Mus musculus: one gene and its partner. The protein of the gene in region 1 interacts with the protein of each later gene in a biochemical or structural test. Links are inferred from orthologs where the notes say so. Each region holds a gene or a part of one and is shown on either strand. Other genes may lie near its edges.

Region 1 (9,381 bases):
CTCTGGCCTCTCCCTGAAGCTCTGCTGGCCAAGAGCACAGCTGCAGACAGTGGCCCCGTGCTTCTACAAGCCCAGACCACTCGGCGATGCCACGACAAAGTAGCCAGCCATACATGGCCTCTGGGGTGGGGTGTGGCTGAGCCTTTGCTGGGATGGGTGTCTTAGTGTCTTAAGTTTTGTTACCTGCTTTCGTCACCAGGACATCAACAGTTTGGCTGTCTCCCCCAATGACAAGCTGTTAGCAACAGGCTCACAGGATCGCACAGCTAAGCTCTGGGCCTTGCCTCAGTGCCAACTGTTAGGTGTTTTTACAGGCCACCGACGTGGCCTCTGGAATGTCCAGTTCTCACCTACGGACCAGGTGCTGGCCACAGCCTCTGCTGATGGTACCATCAAGCTCTGGGCACTGCAGGACTTCAGTTGCCTCAAGGTAGGTATATATAATACTGTCTGTAGTATCCAGTATATGGGTATATAATATACCCTCTCATGCCCATACCACTCAGGTCCTCTGTCTCTCCCTGCAGACATTTGAGGGACACGATGCTTCTGTACTGAAGGTGGCCTTTGTAAGCCGTGGCTCACAGCTGCTGTCTAGGTGAGTGAGCTAGGAGTCCTCTGGGGATACCTGGGGAGGGACACGCCCCTACACTGAGCCCATCCATTCTCAACTCAGTGGCTCTGATGGGCTCCTGAAGCTGTGGACCATTAAGAGCAACGAGTGTGTGCGGACCCTGGATGCTCACGAGGACAAGGTCTGGGGACTACACTGCAGCCAACTGGATGATCATGCCATCACCGGTGGCAGTGACTCCCGAATCATTCTCTGGAAGGTTTGAACCCTATGGGGTGGGATGAGGCAGGGCAGTCCTTTGACAGCACTGGGGCTTGGCTGACCCTAATTTGATCCCAGGATGTGACAGAAGCTGAGCAGGCAGAAGAGCAGGCCAAACGGGAAGAGCAGGTGATCAAGTGAGTCTGGGCTGGGTAGACCCTGCTGCATCCCCTCAGGAGTAGCACCCCTTGCACGTCCTAGCAGTACCAGCTCCTGCATCTAGTAGCAGCAGCAGCAGCCCCTGCATGTTCCTACTGTGCAGCACAGGAAATGGGCCGGGGTAGGGTTCATACTTATGGGCACTCAGGCTGAGCCGGGGTCTCTGAGTGACCATGTGCTTTCCTCTGTCCCACCAGGCAGCAAGAACTGGACAACCTGCTCCATGAGAAGCGGTATCTCCGGGCACTAGGCCTTGCCATCTCTCTGGATCGTCCCCACACTGTGCTGACCGTTATCCAGGGTCAGCGCCTACCCCAGGAGGAGGTGGGGTAGGGGAGGCTCCAGGGATTGGTGAGCCCTTTCCTCAAGCTCAGACTTTCCTCTCATAGCCATCCGGAGAGATCCTGAGGCCTGTGAGAAGCTGGAAGCCACTGTACTCCGACTGCGAAGAGACCAGAAAGGTTGTGGGCAGGCTGGAAGAAACCAGGCTGGGGAGGGGGTGGCCTGGTGGGCAGAATGGGGTTGGTGACCATCTGTTACCTACAGAGGCCCTGCTGCGCTTCTGTGTCACGTGGAACACAAACTCCAGACATTGCCACGAAGCCCAGGCTGTGCTTGGTGTGCTGCTGCGGCACGAGGCTCCTGAGGAGCTGCTGGCCTACGACGGGGTGCGGGGGTCACTGGAGGCCTTGCTGCCCTACACTGGTATGTGACATGGTCCTGGGTCCAGGGATGCTCCTAGTGGGTTCACAGACAACCCCCACCCCAGCCTGAGCCTCCTCTGTTTTCCTCTAGAGCGGCACTTTCAGCGGCTTAGCAGGACACTGCAAGCAGCCACCTTCCTGGACTTCCTGTGGCACAACATGAAGCTGTCCCCATGCCCTGCTGCAGCTCCCCCAGCCCTATGAAACAGAAAAGTTAACTTTCTAACTTGGTTTCTCATGTGAATCTGATCAGTCTCTCCCAAAGTCCTTGGCCACACTTGGCTGACCGAGGCGTCATCTCTAGGAATTCAAGCCCACCCCGCCCCATTCCCTCAGTGCACAGTGATTTGGGTGAAGTCATTCCAGTTTTATTTAGAGGAAATAGAAAGTTAGCTGGCCCGTGGCCCTGCCAGCCATAGAGCCCCACTCTTAATCCTGCTTTCTTGGTGAGGTCTAGATCCCTGCTTTGCCTGAGGTTGGCTTTGACAGTACAACCTCTCTGCAGAGCAGCAATACAATCCTCAACGGGGAACCCGAGTCCCTTGTTCCTGTCCCAGTGCCCTGCGGGTAATGGAGCAGCATCGACTCTGGATGGCACTCATACAGGGACGAGTTGGTACTACAGGGGGAATGGTCCTGTCCTCAGCCACCTTGTCTGCCCCAGCACTGTCTGGGAACCCTGGCCTGCCCAGGAGCGAGCCCAGCCCTTCAGGTTGCAGCGACATTGCAGGGAGTAGGCCTGTCCGGCCATTATACCTGCAGGAAAAGCAGGGCTTGGTTAAGGAGTTACCTATGTTCCCGTCCGGCCAGGCAGAGCCTGCCACTGCTCCACCACACAGAGACACACACACTTCACTGTACCTGCACAGCCACCAGCCTCGGTCTGAGGTCTCCAGCACATGGACACGTGCCCCTGAGGGCACGGATAGCTCATCAGAGCGACTGCCCTCGTAGGCCTGAGTAGTGCAGAACTGCCTCCCTAAGATAGGGATGTGGGGACCACTGTGGAGCTGAAGGTCAGAGTCCACCCTCACCGTTCCTGGCCTGGCCTCTGGGCACCCTGCACTGCTCTGAAACCCACTTGGGCTTGCTCCTGGCTCTAAGCAGCACCCACATGCCTAGTGCCCCACTACTACCTCCCTCCTGGGTGTGGTATTGGCCTTGCCAAAGGTCTAGGTCCACTCATAGTGCTGAGTTTATAGTAGGGATGGGCTCATACCACTTCCTTGCAAAGCCAGGCCTGACTCCTGGCCTTGGCACGTTGCTACCTCCTCCAGGTAGGGAGCTGGAAACCAGGCTACCTGCTGATCCTTGTTCTCCACCAGCCACCAGCCTGTTTAAGAGGCCAGGAAAGGGCTCAGATACCTAGGTCTGCATCCATTTTGAACAGAGGGAAAACCCCAGGTTCTTAATAGTGAGGTTTTACCTGAAGGATGTCGTAGTAATATGTCCAGAATTTCTTGAGCCTTGGTGTGGAAAGGTCTGTCTCTTATGTCAAGAGTGTGGAAAGGCTGTACACAGGGAATGCTCTGAGCCTCCAGGCTATGAATGTCAAGGCTGCCTCTGGGTTGGGATAAGGGCTCCTCTGGTGTAGGCAGGATCACCAGGCTGGGCAGTGCAGCCCACACATGTAAGAAATAAGTAGGAAGGAGGCTGGGACTACCCCTTTTCATATATATATATATATCAGCCCAGCCTTCTCATCTGACCCTCCAACAAGTGCATTGGCTGGGAGCAGGGTGAAGGTTAGTCACCTGCCAGGAGGCAGCATGGGCTCCAGATCCAGAGGTTTGGGTACAAAGAAGCCGTGAAGTGCTGAACTCCTCAATATGTGTTCTGAGGTTGCCAGCAATGCCTGTACATAGGTGTCCAGCAGCCGCAAACGTACCAGTCCTCGACCAGTATGCCCCCGACGTGTCAGCAATGGAGCATCTGCCCGGGTATCACAAGCACACACTGTGGGGCCCCACTCACGCACACTGCCCTTACCATCCCATGACCCTTACAGGCCTGACCAGGAAGCTTGGGAAGAACTTGTTCAGATCTCCGTAGCAGGCCTGCCTCCACTGGGAAGGTTTTCTTAAGGGTCTTCTGGTGGGGAGGAGCAGGTGTTAGTCTTTGAGATGGAGAGAACCCCCTAGGGAGGGAAGGGTCCCTAGAAGAGCTCCTACAGGCAGAAGGGGAGGTCCTTGGACTGAGGTCATCCACAGATGGAGTATCCAGAGGACTCTGGACTGGAGCCAATACCCACTGGAGTATAGTCCCAGTGTTAACTTACCTGGAGCTGCCTGAACTCATCCCAGCTCCTCCGCACAAATGTGTCACTGTTGTCTGACCAGCACACGGAGAAGGCAAATGTCTGTGTGAGGAAAGGTAGAGGCGACATCTCCTTCAGTCTTTGCCAGTTTTCCTTTTGCATCTTTGGAGACAATCGGTGCAGGGGTGAGGGACGGGGCAGTGTGGTCTACCTGGAGTCGGTCCATTTGCACCAAGGCTACAGCATGGGCTGATACTGGGTGTCTTGGGCTTGCCATGACTATGGATGCTTGAAGGAGCTCCGAGCATCCGGAAGAAGTGAAGTGGAATTCCCCAACACTGCCCTAAGTAGAGTCCCTTCGAAGCACTCACAATCCAGGAAAGAGTTCAGTTTCCTGGTTCTTGAAGCACAAAAAAACGAGAGAGGATTCATCACAGGAAGACTGCCAGGGGGAGGGGCAAGCCTGGGCAGATGGAAGAAAAGGCCCTTTGTACAAGACTGTTCTCAAACAGAACCACCTGGGGCTCCTCTCCTTCCTTAGTCAGGGGAAGAAAAACTGTAGGGAGTTCCACCACCAAAGCACCTGCCGCCTCAACTTCACCTGCCCCCTCTGCCTCTTCATCCTGCTGTGACCTCCTCCAGGGTGTGCCTAACAGCTTGCTCTTTGAATCCACCCTGGGCTACAGTACAGTATGTTACAGACACAGACAACCTTGAGTCAACTACTGGGTCCTTTTTTGGTTGCTTTGGTTTGGTTTGGTTTTGGTTGGTTGTTTTTGTCTTGTTTTGCTTTGAGATAGGGTTTTGCCAAAGTTGGGAATATTACTGTCTTAGGCTCCCGAGTAGCTAGGTCATAAAGCCAATCTCCTTACTTAGCTAAGTCTTGGCATTACCTTTAATAACTTTCTGGCTTTTTTTCAGAAATGTTGGAAGTCAGAAGACAGAAGCTGGAAAAGTGAGGAATTGTGAGCCCCTCTTACCACTCAGTTGACAGCCCCTGTCTACCCCTCCCAACCTTAGATGCTCTTCACTCTATCTAGCCACTGCCTCTCTCAGATGCACACAGAGGAGCCCCCAACTCTGGGTTCCTCCCTGTCTCTTTAAAAAAATCTGTTCTCAGTGGGGTAGCACATGCCTTTAATCCCAGCATTTGGGTGGCAGAGGCAGGTAGATTTCTGAGATCAAGGCCAGCCTGGTCTACAAAGAGAGTCCAGGACAGTCAAGACTGGTTACACTAAGAAACCCTGTCTTGAAATACACACACACACACACACACAAAATCCACTGTCCCAAATTGCCCAACATCTCTGTTTTTAGGGAAAAAAATGCCAGTTGCTACCATGGTCATAAGTAGGCCTTGCCGGACTCTGGATTCTGCCTCTATCTCCTCTACCTTCCCTAGACCCTGCCCCCAGCGTCACTGGTGTTTCTGTAAAATGTCAAGCATTTGAGCTGATTTCTTATCCCAAAGGCCTGTGCCTAAGGGTCTCCTCACCCCCTGCACAGCTTTCATCAGTTTTGTAAATATGATTCTGGTGTACTGGGTTTTCCGCATTTGCATCACTGGTTAAAGGCTAAAGAGGGAGGCTTGTTCCTTGTTCTGCTCAGTGGAGGAAACAGCACCTGGAGAGAGCAGCCACTCTACAAATATTTGCAGAAAGAGTAAATGAACACATGGAGGCAGCGGAAGGAATTCTTCCTGTGATGGCACAGGCGTTTAAGTCAAACACTTGAAGAGGTGGTGTGGTGGCAAAAAGATTCAAGAATTCAACATCATCTTCACTCAGCTACATACAGAGTTCAAAGTTAGTCCAAGTTACATGAGACCCTGTCTCCAAAAGAAAAAAAAAAAGGAAGAAATTCCTGAGGCTGCTATTAAAATAGGCATAATAATCTTTTATCCAAGCTAGAGGATGAGGACACGCCCTCTCTCAAGGTTGCGCAGTGGGGGACAGTTACTAGGGCACAGGTAGCCTCTGGCAATAAGTACTGTCTGGTCTCTGTGAGGCCACGCCCCGTCGCGCGTTGCTAAGGCACCGAGAAGCGTGTAGGTGGGCACGTCGTAAGGCAGGAAGACCCCAAATTTTGCCGCCCTTAGGTGTCTGAGCCAAGCGATGGGGGTGATGCGAGAAGCATCTCGGAACTCATCTCAGTCCAAGATCTCAGCACAGCCGCAGCGCGCCTTCCACGACACACTTCACATCTGCCGGAGGAAGCCTGAACCCCACCATGGACCACGCACGCCGGGCTCGCGGCGGGTCACCAGGCGCAAGAGTACCCGCAGAGCCGGAGCCGCAGCCGCCAGTGCCGCCTCGGCCTGGGCCTCCGGCGCCGCCTCCTCCCGCCCCGAGGCCTCCTACGCCTCCGCGACCCGGGCCGCCGCCTCGGCCCCCAGCCCCGCCCCGCCGCCAGGCCCCGCCTCCTGCCCCGGCCTGAGCCCAGCCCCGGGCTGCGGTTCCCGCTCCTGCCGCCGCGCGCCGGCGGTGGCGTGCACGCTCCTCCGAACTGTCGCCGGCACGCCCTCTTGGCCCCGCTGCCCGCACGCCAGCAAGATGGCGGCGCCCAGCGAGCCGGCGGGCTTCCCTCGCGGCAGTCGCTTCTCCTTCCTGCCGGGCGGCGCGCGCTCCGAGATGACCGACGACCTGGTGACTGACGCGCGGGGCCGCGGCGCAAGGCATAGAGACGACACCACCCCTGCCGCGGCCCCGGCGCCGCAAGGTTTGGAGCACGGGAAGCGACCGTGCCGGGCCTGCGTGGACTTCAAGTCGTGGATGCGGACCCAGCAGAAGGTGCAGATGCCCCGCTTGGCCGCCCGGTCCCGGTCCCCCACACACCTGGTTTCCAGGTTCCCGTTCGGCTACCGCACGGCCCAAACCCTCAGGGTTGGCTATGCCTAAACATGTTTACCCCTCACCCACACACACCGTTAGGCTCAAACTTTTGCGCTTTCAGCCACTGGCTAGTCAGATCGAGTTAGTAGGCTGTCAACTGAAAAAGGGAGCGTTCTTGTTTCCTTTATTATTATTATTATGATTATTATTAGTGATAATGGGAATTCGAACCGAAGGCCTCTGGCGTACAACGCAAGCAGTCTGCCACTGGGTTGGAATTTTATGGGCTTTCTGGTTGGGTAAGAGTGAATTGACCTTTAGTCGGCCTACTTCTGCAGCGGGACATCAAGTTTAGGGAGGACTGTCCACAGGATCGGGAAGAATTGGGTCGCCACACCTGGGCTTTCCTCCATACGCTGGCCGCCTATTACCCGGACAGGCCCACGCCAGAACAACAACAGGATATGGCCCAGTTCATACATATATTTTCCAAGTTTTACCCCTGCGAGGAATGTGCGGAAGACATAAGGAAGAGGTAAGTTGTGGCTATACCTCTTGTCAGTAAGGTCCCTAGAGCGGGCCTAGCTGATGCCGGGCGGTGGTGGCGCACGCCGTTAATCCCAGCACTTGGCAAGCAGTGGCAGGTGGTTTTCTGAGTTCGAGGCCAGCCTGCTCTACAGAGTGAGTTCCAGGACAGCCAGGGCTACACAGAGAAACCCTGTCTCAAAGAAACACAAAAAAAGGGGGGGGGGCATAGCTGATGTCATAGAGAGGGGCCTAGAACAGTAGATTCAGAAGTGACAGGTTCCTAGGAGAGGGGACACCAAAAGGGATGTTGGGGTTTGGGGGCCTTCTCCTTCCTCAAAAGCCCAGTCCTTATAGCTCTTCCTTATGGGGCTCAAGCCAATCTCTCAGCTTAGTTACCAGCTTTAAAAACTGGACTGAAGGGAGGCAGAGGCAGGCGGATTTCAGAGTTCGAGGCCAGCCTGGTCTACAAAGTGAGTTCCAGGATAGCCAGGGCTACACAGAGAAACCCTGTCTCGAAAAACCAAAAAAAAAAAAAAAAAAACTGGACTGAAGTAAACATCCCTCACTCTCAGTGGCCTAACCTAGGTTGCACTTGCTATTTGAAGCAGTTAGGAGTGAGGGGAGCTCTAGCTGCATTGTGCCCCTGGTGCTGAGAAACAGTCCTTTGTGCCAGGCCCTACCTAGAAACTCTAGATTCAGGCCCCCCCCATCCCCCTACAGGAAGATAGGTCATAGCAGTGCCCCAACTCCCGTCTCCAGACACTGGCAGAGACAGAGGGGCCGGGATCTCCTTACATCCTTCTGTGCTTCTCTCAAAGGATAGGCAGGAACCAGCCAGACACAAGCACTCGAGTATCCTTCAGCCAGTGGCTGTGCCGCCTGCACAATGAGGTGAATCGGAAGCTGGGCAAGCCTGATTTTGACTGCTCGAGAGTAGATGAGCGTTGGCGTGACGGCTGGAAGGACGGCTCCTGTGACTAGAAGATTACCAGCAGTTCGTGAGGGGCATCTAGCCTGGTTCTATGGGCAACAGCCTGATTGACGATTAAAGTGCATCTGAGCCAACACTTGTTTCTGTAGTTGATTTCTGGATGTATTCAAGAGTTTAGCGTACTGACTCTCTAATCTGTGCAACTTATCTGTGTAAGAGAGTTTCAGAGGCGCTGTCATCTGAATCTCACTAATTTTAGCTTCCTTAAGGCTGGATTCAAATTCTTCAATGGCTCGGTGAACATTTTTATGGTTTTCTAAATGGCTTTCAACACTTGGCAAATCTGAGCCCCATTCAGTGCGGTCCAGCTGCACCTGCATCTCATCAACCCAGTTCAAGAGATCTTGAACAAATTTCATATTGACTTCCTCTTCTGTCAAGTTCTGATCCAGCAAAGACGACTTGAGAAGGGGCTTTCGGATCTGCATTAGCTTCAGAGTCTGTAATGAATTTGGCTCTACCCCTAAACTGAAGTTTGGAGCTACAACTGAAGGGAACCCAGGTGCATACACCGGAGTAACTGATGGCGTCAGGCGGGAAGTCATCCCGGACGACAAGCCAGAAGTCACGCTAGAAGACGTCAAGGAAGGGGTTAAACTCTGGGTTAGCCCTGAGTTCAGGCTGGGGTGTAAGGTTTGTGCAAATCCTGAGTTTAAGCTTTGAACACTGCCTCTGGGAACCCTGCCACAGGATTAAGAAATGGAGGTGCCTACTACAGACACTTGGGTGGCCTCCTCAGCGAAAGCCCCATGAGACTGAAGGTGAGAGGCAGGAGTGGTCCAGGTGCCTCGTACCCTTCATTTGGGACATAGTTGCCCCAAAGGAAGATGGGCTAGATGATTGCCTTACTACTACACAGCCCTGGCTGCCTACAAGAACTGTGATCCTGGCAACTCTGCCATTTCAGAATTGAAGCAGGGTTCCCCAGCTCCAGCAGGGTTTTTCTCTTAGGGTGTACCAACCATGGTGCCCACTGTCAGCCTGGCACATGGTCTTCTGCAGCTATGACAAGCATGTCAGCAGAGGGTCCTGGGAACAGCTTCCTTAGCGTTTGAGGCCAAAATAAACTGAAGTGA
Region 2 (8,077 bases), on another chromosome or scaffold:
TTATTAAACTGACACGGTTCAGTGTCTCCTTCATTTACCCCTACCAGTCCGTTTTTCTTCCCTCCTGGCCCCGTCCACCGAGTGGGTGCTCAGAGGGTAACTAAAGCCCCAAACTCCTTTCCTAAGGTTGAGTGGGTCCTGCTGTGGTAGGGCGGGACTTGAACACGTGGGCTCGGCAGAGCCATCAGGCCTGGGTCTCTACCTTTCTATGGGAGGCAGCTGAAGTCCCAGGCAGTCCCTCAAAGCCACATCGTGCCCCCCCCCCCAGTTTGTTGTTACTTTGACCGTTCAGACAACACCATCTCTGCCTGAGGCTAATCCCCACGAATGACCCCCTGCATCAAGACAGTCTCTGCCACAACAGACCTTTCCAGCATGGACCTGCCTTCTCCCCAATGGGGACCCAGGGCTGTAAAGCCAAACTGGAGACTTAAACTCCCACTCAGAGCCAGGAGCCACCAGGGTAGCACCCTGTACTCTGGCTCCACTGGGTGGAGGGGACTGGGTGCCAGTGGCTTTTGGAAGAACCAGATTTGGACTAGGCTCAGGGTCTCACTTGTAAACATGAGCCCACCCAGGGTCCACCGGGCAGTCACGAGGCCTTCCATGACTGGCCTTCGGGTCACCAAACAGGTCAGGGAGTGTGTTCCATCCATTGCTGACCACAGTCCCTCCCCCAGCCTCATATGGAGAATTTCTTGTCCGTACCAGCTATTAATCATGTTTATTACAGTGAGCAACACCACCCTGGGGGGGGGGGGACAACTCCACAGAAACTCAAGCAGGAGCTGTAGACAGCCACTGAAGGTCACACGACCTCATCTGTCACTGGCATTGGGTTAACCTGGGGTCCTCCAGCTGAGGCTGCCTCCTCTTCACCCTCACTCGGCTTCTTTCGGACCTCTGCGGGTGGCCGGGGTGGGGGGTTGGTAGGTGGTTGCTTGATGGTGCCTCCAACCTGTGGCCGCTCCTTGGGTTTAGGCTCAATGGGAGTCCACTGCTCACCTCGGATGGCTGCCTGGGGCAGAGGGGGGCTATGTTATGGTTGAAGCTGCTTACTGTCCCTAGGGACTCCAGTGGACATGGGTTGGGGCTGGAGGCACTGATTGCTGCTCTCCCAGAAGTCCTGAATTCAATACCCAGAAACCACATGGCAAACCACAACCATTTGTAATGGGATCTGATGGCCTTTTCTGGTGTGTCTGAAGACAGGAATAGTGTACTTATATACGTAAAATAAATAAACAATTCTTTTAAAAAAAAATGCTGAATAGTGGTGGCACCCGCCTTTAATCCCAGCACTCGGGAGGCAGAGGCAGGTGGATCTCTGAGTCCGAGGCCAGCCTGGTCTACAGGGTGAGTTCTAAGACAGCCAAAGCTACACAGAGAAACCCTGTCTCAAAAAGCCAGAATGAATCAATTGACAGATCGATTTCATATCCCACAATGCTCGAGAGATAGAAAGTCTGCAGCACAGCACACACCTGTGAGCACACACCTGTGAGCACACACCTGTGAGCACACACCTGTGGCTACGCCTTCTAACCAACAAACCAGAATATTTTATCCAGATGGTAAGAATGGAGCTGGCAGAAGAGGACACAGCGAGATATCTGTATGACCTTAGAACAGAGAAGGCTTGTAATGAACACAAACTAGGCCAGCTGAAGCAGCACATATCTGTCATCCCAGCATCAGGAGACAGAAGCCGGAGGACCAGGAAGATCAGGAGTTCAAAGCCATCTTCAACTACAGAGCAAGTTTGAGGCTAGTCTGGGCTACATGAGACCCTGCTCTTCTTCTCAAAATAAAAATAAGAATAAATAAAATAGATGCTTCTGTGTCATGAGCTCCTGGGAAGTCCACCTAACACCACCCAAACTCAGGCAGGCTTGGATGAGACATGGGCCCACACGGAGGCTTGGAGGTATGACCTGGACCAACCACGCTGCTTCTCCGAGCCACAGTACAGCTTCATCAGGGAAGTGCCCAGGATACAGCAGAGGAGCATTCGACACAGCCAATGGGAGCGAGAAAGCTGCTCCGAGAGCCACGGGCACCAAGATCATGAGGGTGGGTGCGGGAGGGAGGCAGACCATTGAGGGCAGCCACTTACCAGCAGATAGATCACACTGGCAATGGCCAAGCAGACGGTCCCCAGGATGGTGGCCAGGAGGAAGCCTGCAGGCACCGACAACCTTGAGGCATGACAGGAGGAAGCAAACAGATAGCAGTCAGTGGGCATCTGGTCACACAGTCGCAGAGGGAGATTCCCTCCCCGGGGCCCTGGACGGGGGATGGGCAGAGGCTAGCTCTCATCAGGTCCAGCTTGGGGTTTGTAGAAGCTCCTCTTTGTGACGATGTGTCCTTTGATTCAAGCCACAGACATCTTGCTGGGGAAAAGGCCCGAGCTGGAGCGTGGCCATATGGGTGTGTCCCCAAACTGCAGGTGTAACAAGCCCAGTACAGCACCTGTGGCTCAGGTGCTAAGCTTGGTGTGCACTGCAGGTTTGGGGCCTCTCTAAAAGCTTTTCTTTTTCTTTTTCTAAGATTTATTTGTTTGTTTTATATGAGTACAGTGTAGCTGTCTGCAGACACACCAGAAGAGAGGGTATCTGATTCTATTACAGATGGTTGTGAGCCCATGTGGTTGCTGGGAATTGAACTCAGGACCTCTTCCAGAGCAGTCAGTGCTCCTAACTGCTGAGCAATCTCTCCAGCCCCAAAGCTGAGCTTTTCTATCTGGATAAACTTCAATGAAGAAGAGGCTTGGCTGGCTGGGCGATACCTTCCTGTCCAAGCTATAGACCCATGGGGTGTCTCCTTCTAGTCTTCTGTTACCCTGGGGATGGACAGAGGGACTCACAGGAAGTGGAGGGCAGCCCGGACGTAGTAATTCCTGGTGAGGGGCCCGAAAAGCTTCACCACAGAGGTCAGGTACTTCTGTCCACTAGACAGCGGGAAGACAAAACGTCAGAGGGTCAGCACCGACCACACCTAGAAGCCCTTGTCACTCCTTATCTGTCCCCTTCCAGGGTTATGGGTCCTTTTCCTCCTGGGCACATGAGCCTGGCAGCTGGGCAGGCCTTGGGCTGGGAGCTCTGGACGAGTGGGCTGCATGGGGCAGGTCCCCAGGCCTCTCGGGTAGGAATGACTTACCATCGCTCCATGGTGGACCCCTTTTTCCTCTTTCCCCGGGGATACTCCAGCAGACAGATGAGCACACCTGCAGCGCTGCGGTGAGGTTAAGGAAAGCCATGCTAGGCCTAGGCTGCTGCCCTCTGCCTCTTCTGTTCTCAGGCCCTGGCCTAGGAGTCTACTGTGCAGCAGGGTGGGACAGAGGGGCAATGGACGCCAGTCCAAGCCTTGGGACCTTCGGCCTCAGCTCCACATTTGCCTGAACCCCGTCTGTGGCCTTTGGCAAGGGGGCATCCAGCCCTGGGCCTTGGCCTCTAAAGCTGCAGACGGAGCTGGTCCTGTCTCTGGAGGCTGTGGTCAGTCTATGTGTAGCACTCCGTGAACTGATGTGCTCATGCTGAGAGCACTCCCATCACCCCACCTTCCTGGTCCCCAGTAGAAGGATACATAGAGTAGGCGCCGAAATACCACTGTGTGAAACGTCCAGCAGTAGCCACGATGCCCCCAGTGATGAGAACTAAGGATGGAGAGAGGTGGTTAGGATGTGCCATCTGCTGCAGGTGTGAGCCAGCTTGAGCTTGCCCCGGGCTTGGGACCATCTCCAATTCTCTGCCTACTGGAGCAGAGCACTGTGCAGCAAGGGGTTCAGGGACAGAGAGGACACTCAGGGAGGTAGCCGCAGCAAGCTGAACTCCACCATAGCTGTCCAGTGCTACACCCTGGTTGGAACGTTAACTCTTTTCAGCTATGCTGTTACCTCTTGGTCCTTTTGTAAGTAGCACATTTCTGGGTTCCATCCCTGTCCCGGGGTAGGGGTTGGGAGGGTATAGCTGGGCGCTGGTGGCATTATACCTTCAATCCCAATACTCAGGAGACAGAGGCAGGCAGATGTCTGTGAGACCAAGGCCAGCCTGGTCTACAGAGGGACTTCCAGGACAGCCAGGGCTACAGAGAAACCCTGTTGGGGGGAGGAGGGACAGGGGGAGGGGAGGAGGAGGGAGAGGGGAGCTTTCCTGCAGTACTATGCTACCCTCACCCCCACTAATGTCTCAGACAGCCCGCCCAAGACTTCGTTACAGTAGAATTACACGAGCGTTATGCTTGGGTCCCCACACCCATCCCCACCCCGGAACCACACAACGGGCAACCTCCTTCATTTCAGGAAGTTCTTGTATCTATGTCTTTAGCTCACATGAAGTTGAAGTGAGGTGCTCTGTAAATAATCAGGGGCTCACTCTGGTGTTGTTGCTACCGGCTGGTCTGGAACTCCTCGCCCCATGTGTTTGTGTTGCAGGCATGGACCACCCTCCTCCTCCTCTTCTTCTGTTTTAGTTGGTTTTTCGAGACAGGGTTTCTCTGTGTAGCCCTGGCTGTCCTGGAATTCACTCTGTAGACCAGGCTGGCCTCGAATTCAGTAATCTGCCTGCCGCTGCCTCCCAAGTGCTGGGATTAAAGGCGTGCGCCACCACCGCCCAGCGTGATTGTGCCTCAAACGAACAAACAAGCAAAGGCTGGAGACATGGCTGGGTTGGTGGGGGGCTTGCCTAGCACGCACAAAGTCCTCAGTGCAACCCCCAGGGCTGCATAGGCTGGACATGGTACTTGCATGTAATCTCAGCACTTGGAAGGGGGAGGCAGGAAGACCGTGAGTCCAAGGCCAGCCTCGCTTACACAGTATGCTCCAGGAGTGGCTGGGATACATTTAAGTCCCTAGAATCCTAGTACTCAGGGGATGACTGTGGGAGGGCCAGGAATTCAGAGTCATCTTCTGCAACTTAGTGAATCTGAGACCAGCCTGAAACCCTGTCTCAAAACAAACAGGTAAGCAAATAAAAACTAGGAGACCGTGTTGTAGTTTTAGGGAGATTCGTGACACACCAAGTGTAAGAAACATCTGAAGATTTTGGTTACAAAAGAACCAGAGAGGTGTTGGAGAGATGGCTCAGAGGTTAAGAGCACTGACTGCTCTGGAAGAGGTCCTGAGTTCAATTCCCAGCAACCACATGGTGGCTCACAAACATCTGTTATGAGATCTGATTTCCTCTTCTGCTGTGTCTGAAGACAGCTATAGTGTACTCCTATATATAAAATAAGTAAATTTTAAAAAGATAGAAGAGCTGGAGCGATAGGTCAATGTTTAAGAGCTCCGGCCACTCGTCCAAAGTATTGTTTTTCAGCTAGGTGTGGCCATGTATGGAATCCCAGCACCCTTGAGGCTAAGACAGAAGGATCACAGATTTCAGGCCCACACCCTGTTTCAAACAATAAAAAAAAATTAAGTTTTACTCAATAAAGATTTTAGTAAAAAAAAAAAAATATATATATATGTTTTAGCAAGGATTTTCAAAGGTACAGTGAGGTATCATTGCTACTTTTCAAACAGAAACACGCAGAGTCAAGTTCTCTTTCCTGTCCTCACATTTGAAAATTAATTCTCCCAGATCTTTAAGGCTACTTATCGCAAGATTCCTCGCGGCTGTGGGTGGGCCCTAGGAAGCTCCGCTTTGCTTTTGCTCCCTAACTTGTTTCTCATCTGGCAGTTTCTGTCCTCTCTCTCGACCATCAGCTCATCTCTGGATTCAGTTTCCCTCTCGCTACGGCAACATCCGCTAGCCACCACTGCACAGAGGCTCGGTAGCTGAAACACAGCAGGATCTTGCCAGCGGAGATGTATTCTTTTCTCAATATCCGATTATCACTGCACCGTCTCCTGGCATCCACGATAGGTCTGGGAACTCTAGCCTGGTAGTAACCCATGACTTTTTCTCTCTTTGTCTAATTTCACTTTCGTGGATCCAAGGAGGGATTTGTTTCCATTCGTTCTGGAAAAAAAAAAGACTTCTTTTTCTCTTCAGCCTAAAGTCTCCTCATCTCTGGGCAGTGCTTGCGAAGCCTCCAAGCCCTCCCCCACACTGGGGAACTCAGCGTCTCACATGCTCGCCCTTCTTGTACAACGTGTGACACAACTTCTGTGTAGAAAGCTCCACGTCTGTGTGGTTCCTCTTGGCTTCCTTCTGTTTCCTTCTTCAAGGTGATACATTCGCAGTGTACCCACTACCATCAAGAGCTGATCGGTGTGTGTGTCTACAAAATTCCCTTTCTCAGATCCAGGTGGCCATTTATCTCCTTTGACATTCAAGAACACGGGTCCCTCTTTCCAGTGGGACCAGCCCCCCTGCCCAGTGGGTGCCGACTCCTCACAGGGTTCACTTCCTCAAACGGTGAGTGTGACCTCATGCCAATAGGGTGTTAATCCCACAGCCACCCATAGGCCTACTTGAGGTCTCTAGTTTCTGCATCTGTGGGTGGAGGCAGCCTCACCCCTACACCCTCCTCAGGCCCAGGTCTCAGGCTTTGGCTGTTTGGGATCCCTGGCAGCAACAGCTCTTGGCAGCTGGAGGGACTGATGCTCTATGACAATCTTGCTAGGGTGCTGACTCCTGCCTTCTTCAGTACGAAGACCCTGGAGCAGCCTCAGGAAAAGCTTCCATGCTGTTCTGGACATCCCCAGACTCCAGGTCCCTCTCCCACTCTTTAAATAGTATTGGTGTTTTGCTATGCTGGGCTTGAAGCTCGGCTACATATTAACCTTCCTGTTTTGCTGGTCAGCTTTAAGGGTGCACTCTGCAGGAGGGAAGGGTACTTTGTCACACATTCACTCGGCCTGCTACCCATAGTCCTTAGGGACTCATGTCCTCACTGTGAGCTTCTGCTACACTGACCACCATGAGTGGGAGGGGTCATTCTTTACCCAACAGGGAGACCCAAGGACTGATTCTCAAGCCCCTGGCTTGCTGAAGTGATACACTGTAACAGAGGGTTCAATCCCAGGGAAGCCCACTATCTGAGGTTGATGTCTCAGCAGGTGGCATCTGAGTCAAGACTGAAAAGGAGGCATCAGCTGTGACCCCAGCCAATTGTACAAAAAGCCCCCCCCCCCCGCCCCCCTCCCCGTGCACATTCAGGAAACTCAGAGACAGAGAAGGAGCAACCTAGCAAGGAAGGCAGGAAGAGCCCAGGAGACAAGCAGGGGGGTCAGGAACGGGCTTTCGTCTTGAGATGGAGCCAGGTAATGGGGCCAGAACAGATGGAATTTTCTGTGATTTAGAAAAAAACAAAATAGGGGGCTGGAGAGATGGCTCAGGGATTAGTAGCGAGGGTTGCTCTCCAAGGGACCTGAGTGGGGTTCTCAGCACCCGCATCAGGCAGTTCAGAGCCACCCGTATGTAACACCAGCTCCATGGGTTCCAATACCCTCTTCTAGCCTTTGTCTGCAAGCGCCCCCGCACTTACACACATGGCCAGACACACACACAATCTGAAAAAAATCAAATGTTAAAAAAACAAAAGGAAACAAAGTACATCCCTGTTGATTGGACCTAGACAGTTCAGAACCTTCCCAGGACAGTTGTGCTTTCCCGTAAAAAGAAAAGTTAGCGGAAGTCACACTCGGTGGAGAAAGTAAGTGGCCACAGCCTGTGACTCCTCAGCACAGGAGACTTGTGTCAGCCTGAACACCCTGAACAATTAGCTGAGGCAGTACATAGAGACCTTAGCACACACGAGGACAGGAGACACTGCATGGACAGCGCTCGCCAGGTCTTCCCACCCTTAGGTGTGTCTGGCACCCCCACTTCCTGGAGGTAACTTTTGAAACCGTCCATAGTGGTCACAGGACAAACCACTACTGGCAGGAGGCTGGGAAGGGTAAGAAGGGAGACTGCAGGTGGGGGAGGGGCGCCATTTTCAAAAGGTTGGGGTTGCAAGGCCTTCCACGGGAGCTTCCAGCGTGGGCTGGGGGAGATTTCTCTATCACCTCTTCGATGCGCTATTCCCGGGTGAGTGGAGGGGGGTCTGGGCCATCCTCCCTGCCCTGGCAGGTCTTTTCTGGCTCCCTTCGGCTTTGAGGCATGTCTGCAGTTTCTAGTCTCAGGCCTGC

The links.
Region 2: the proteins of Noxo1 (region 1) and Cyba form a complex in vitro, tested with the Homo sapiens proteins (3 studies listed by IntAct). The link is inferred for Mus musculus from reciprocal best matches to the Homo sapiens genes NOXO1 and CYBA.

What each region holds. Positions count from the first base shown.
Region 1 is NC_000083.6:24,693,194-24,702,574, reverse strand, and holds Noxo1 (NADPH oxidase organizer 1), read right to left. Parts: upstream 6,342-9,381; 5' UTR 5,579-6,341; exon of another isoform or gene 5,451-5,578; intron 4,939-5,450; exon of another isoform or gene 4,849-4,938; intron 4,356-4,848; 5' UTR 4,233-4,355; coding exon 4,167-4,232; intron 4,059-4,166; exon of another isoform or gene 4,058-4,058; coding exon 3,977-4,057; intron 3,790-3,976; coding exon 3,714-3,789; intron 3,631-3,713; coding exon 3,453-3,630; intron 3,307-3,452; coding exon 3,125-3,306; intron 3,032-3,124; coding exon 2,918-3,031; intron 2,678-2,917; coding exon 2,560-2,677; intron 2,455-2,559; coding exon 2,220-2,454; 3' UTR 2,051-2,219; downstream 1-2,050. Other genes in the region: Tbl3 (transducin beta-like protein 3), read left to right, coding at 1-99, 200-430, 528-598, 677-833, 914-972, 1,192-1,295, 1,384-1,455, 1,541-1,699 and 1 more; Gfer (FAD-linked sulfhydryl oxidase ALR), read left to right, coding at 6,508-6,744, 7,125-7,321, 8,133-8,295. UniProt on the Homo sapiens protein: Constitutively potentiates the superoxide-generating activity of NOX1 and NOX3 and is required for the biogenesis of otoconia/otolith, which are crystalline structures of the inner ear involved in the perception of gravity.
Region 2 is NC_000074.6:122,424,070-122,432,146, forward strand, and holds the end of Cyba (cytochrome b-245 light chain), read right to left. Parts: intron 3,656-8,077; coding exon 3,586-3,655; intron 3,235-3,585; coding exon 3,160-3,234; intron 2,951-3,159; coding exon 2,867-2,950; intron 2,199-2,866; coding exon 2,117-2,198; intron 1,019-2,116; coding exon 809-1,018; 3' UTR 702-808; downstream 1-701. UniProt on the Homo sapiens protein: Subunit of NADPH oxidase complexes that is required for the NADPH oxidase activity that generates, in various cell types, superoxide from molecular oxygen utilizing NADPH as an electron donor.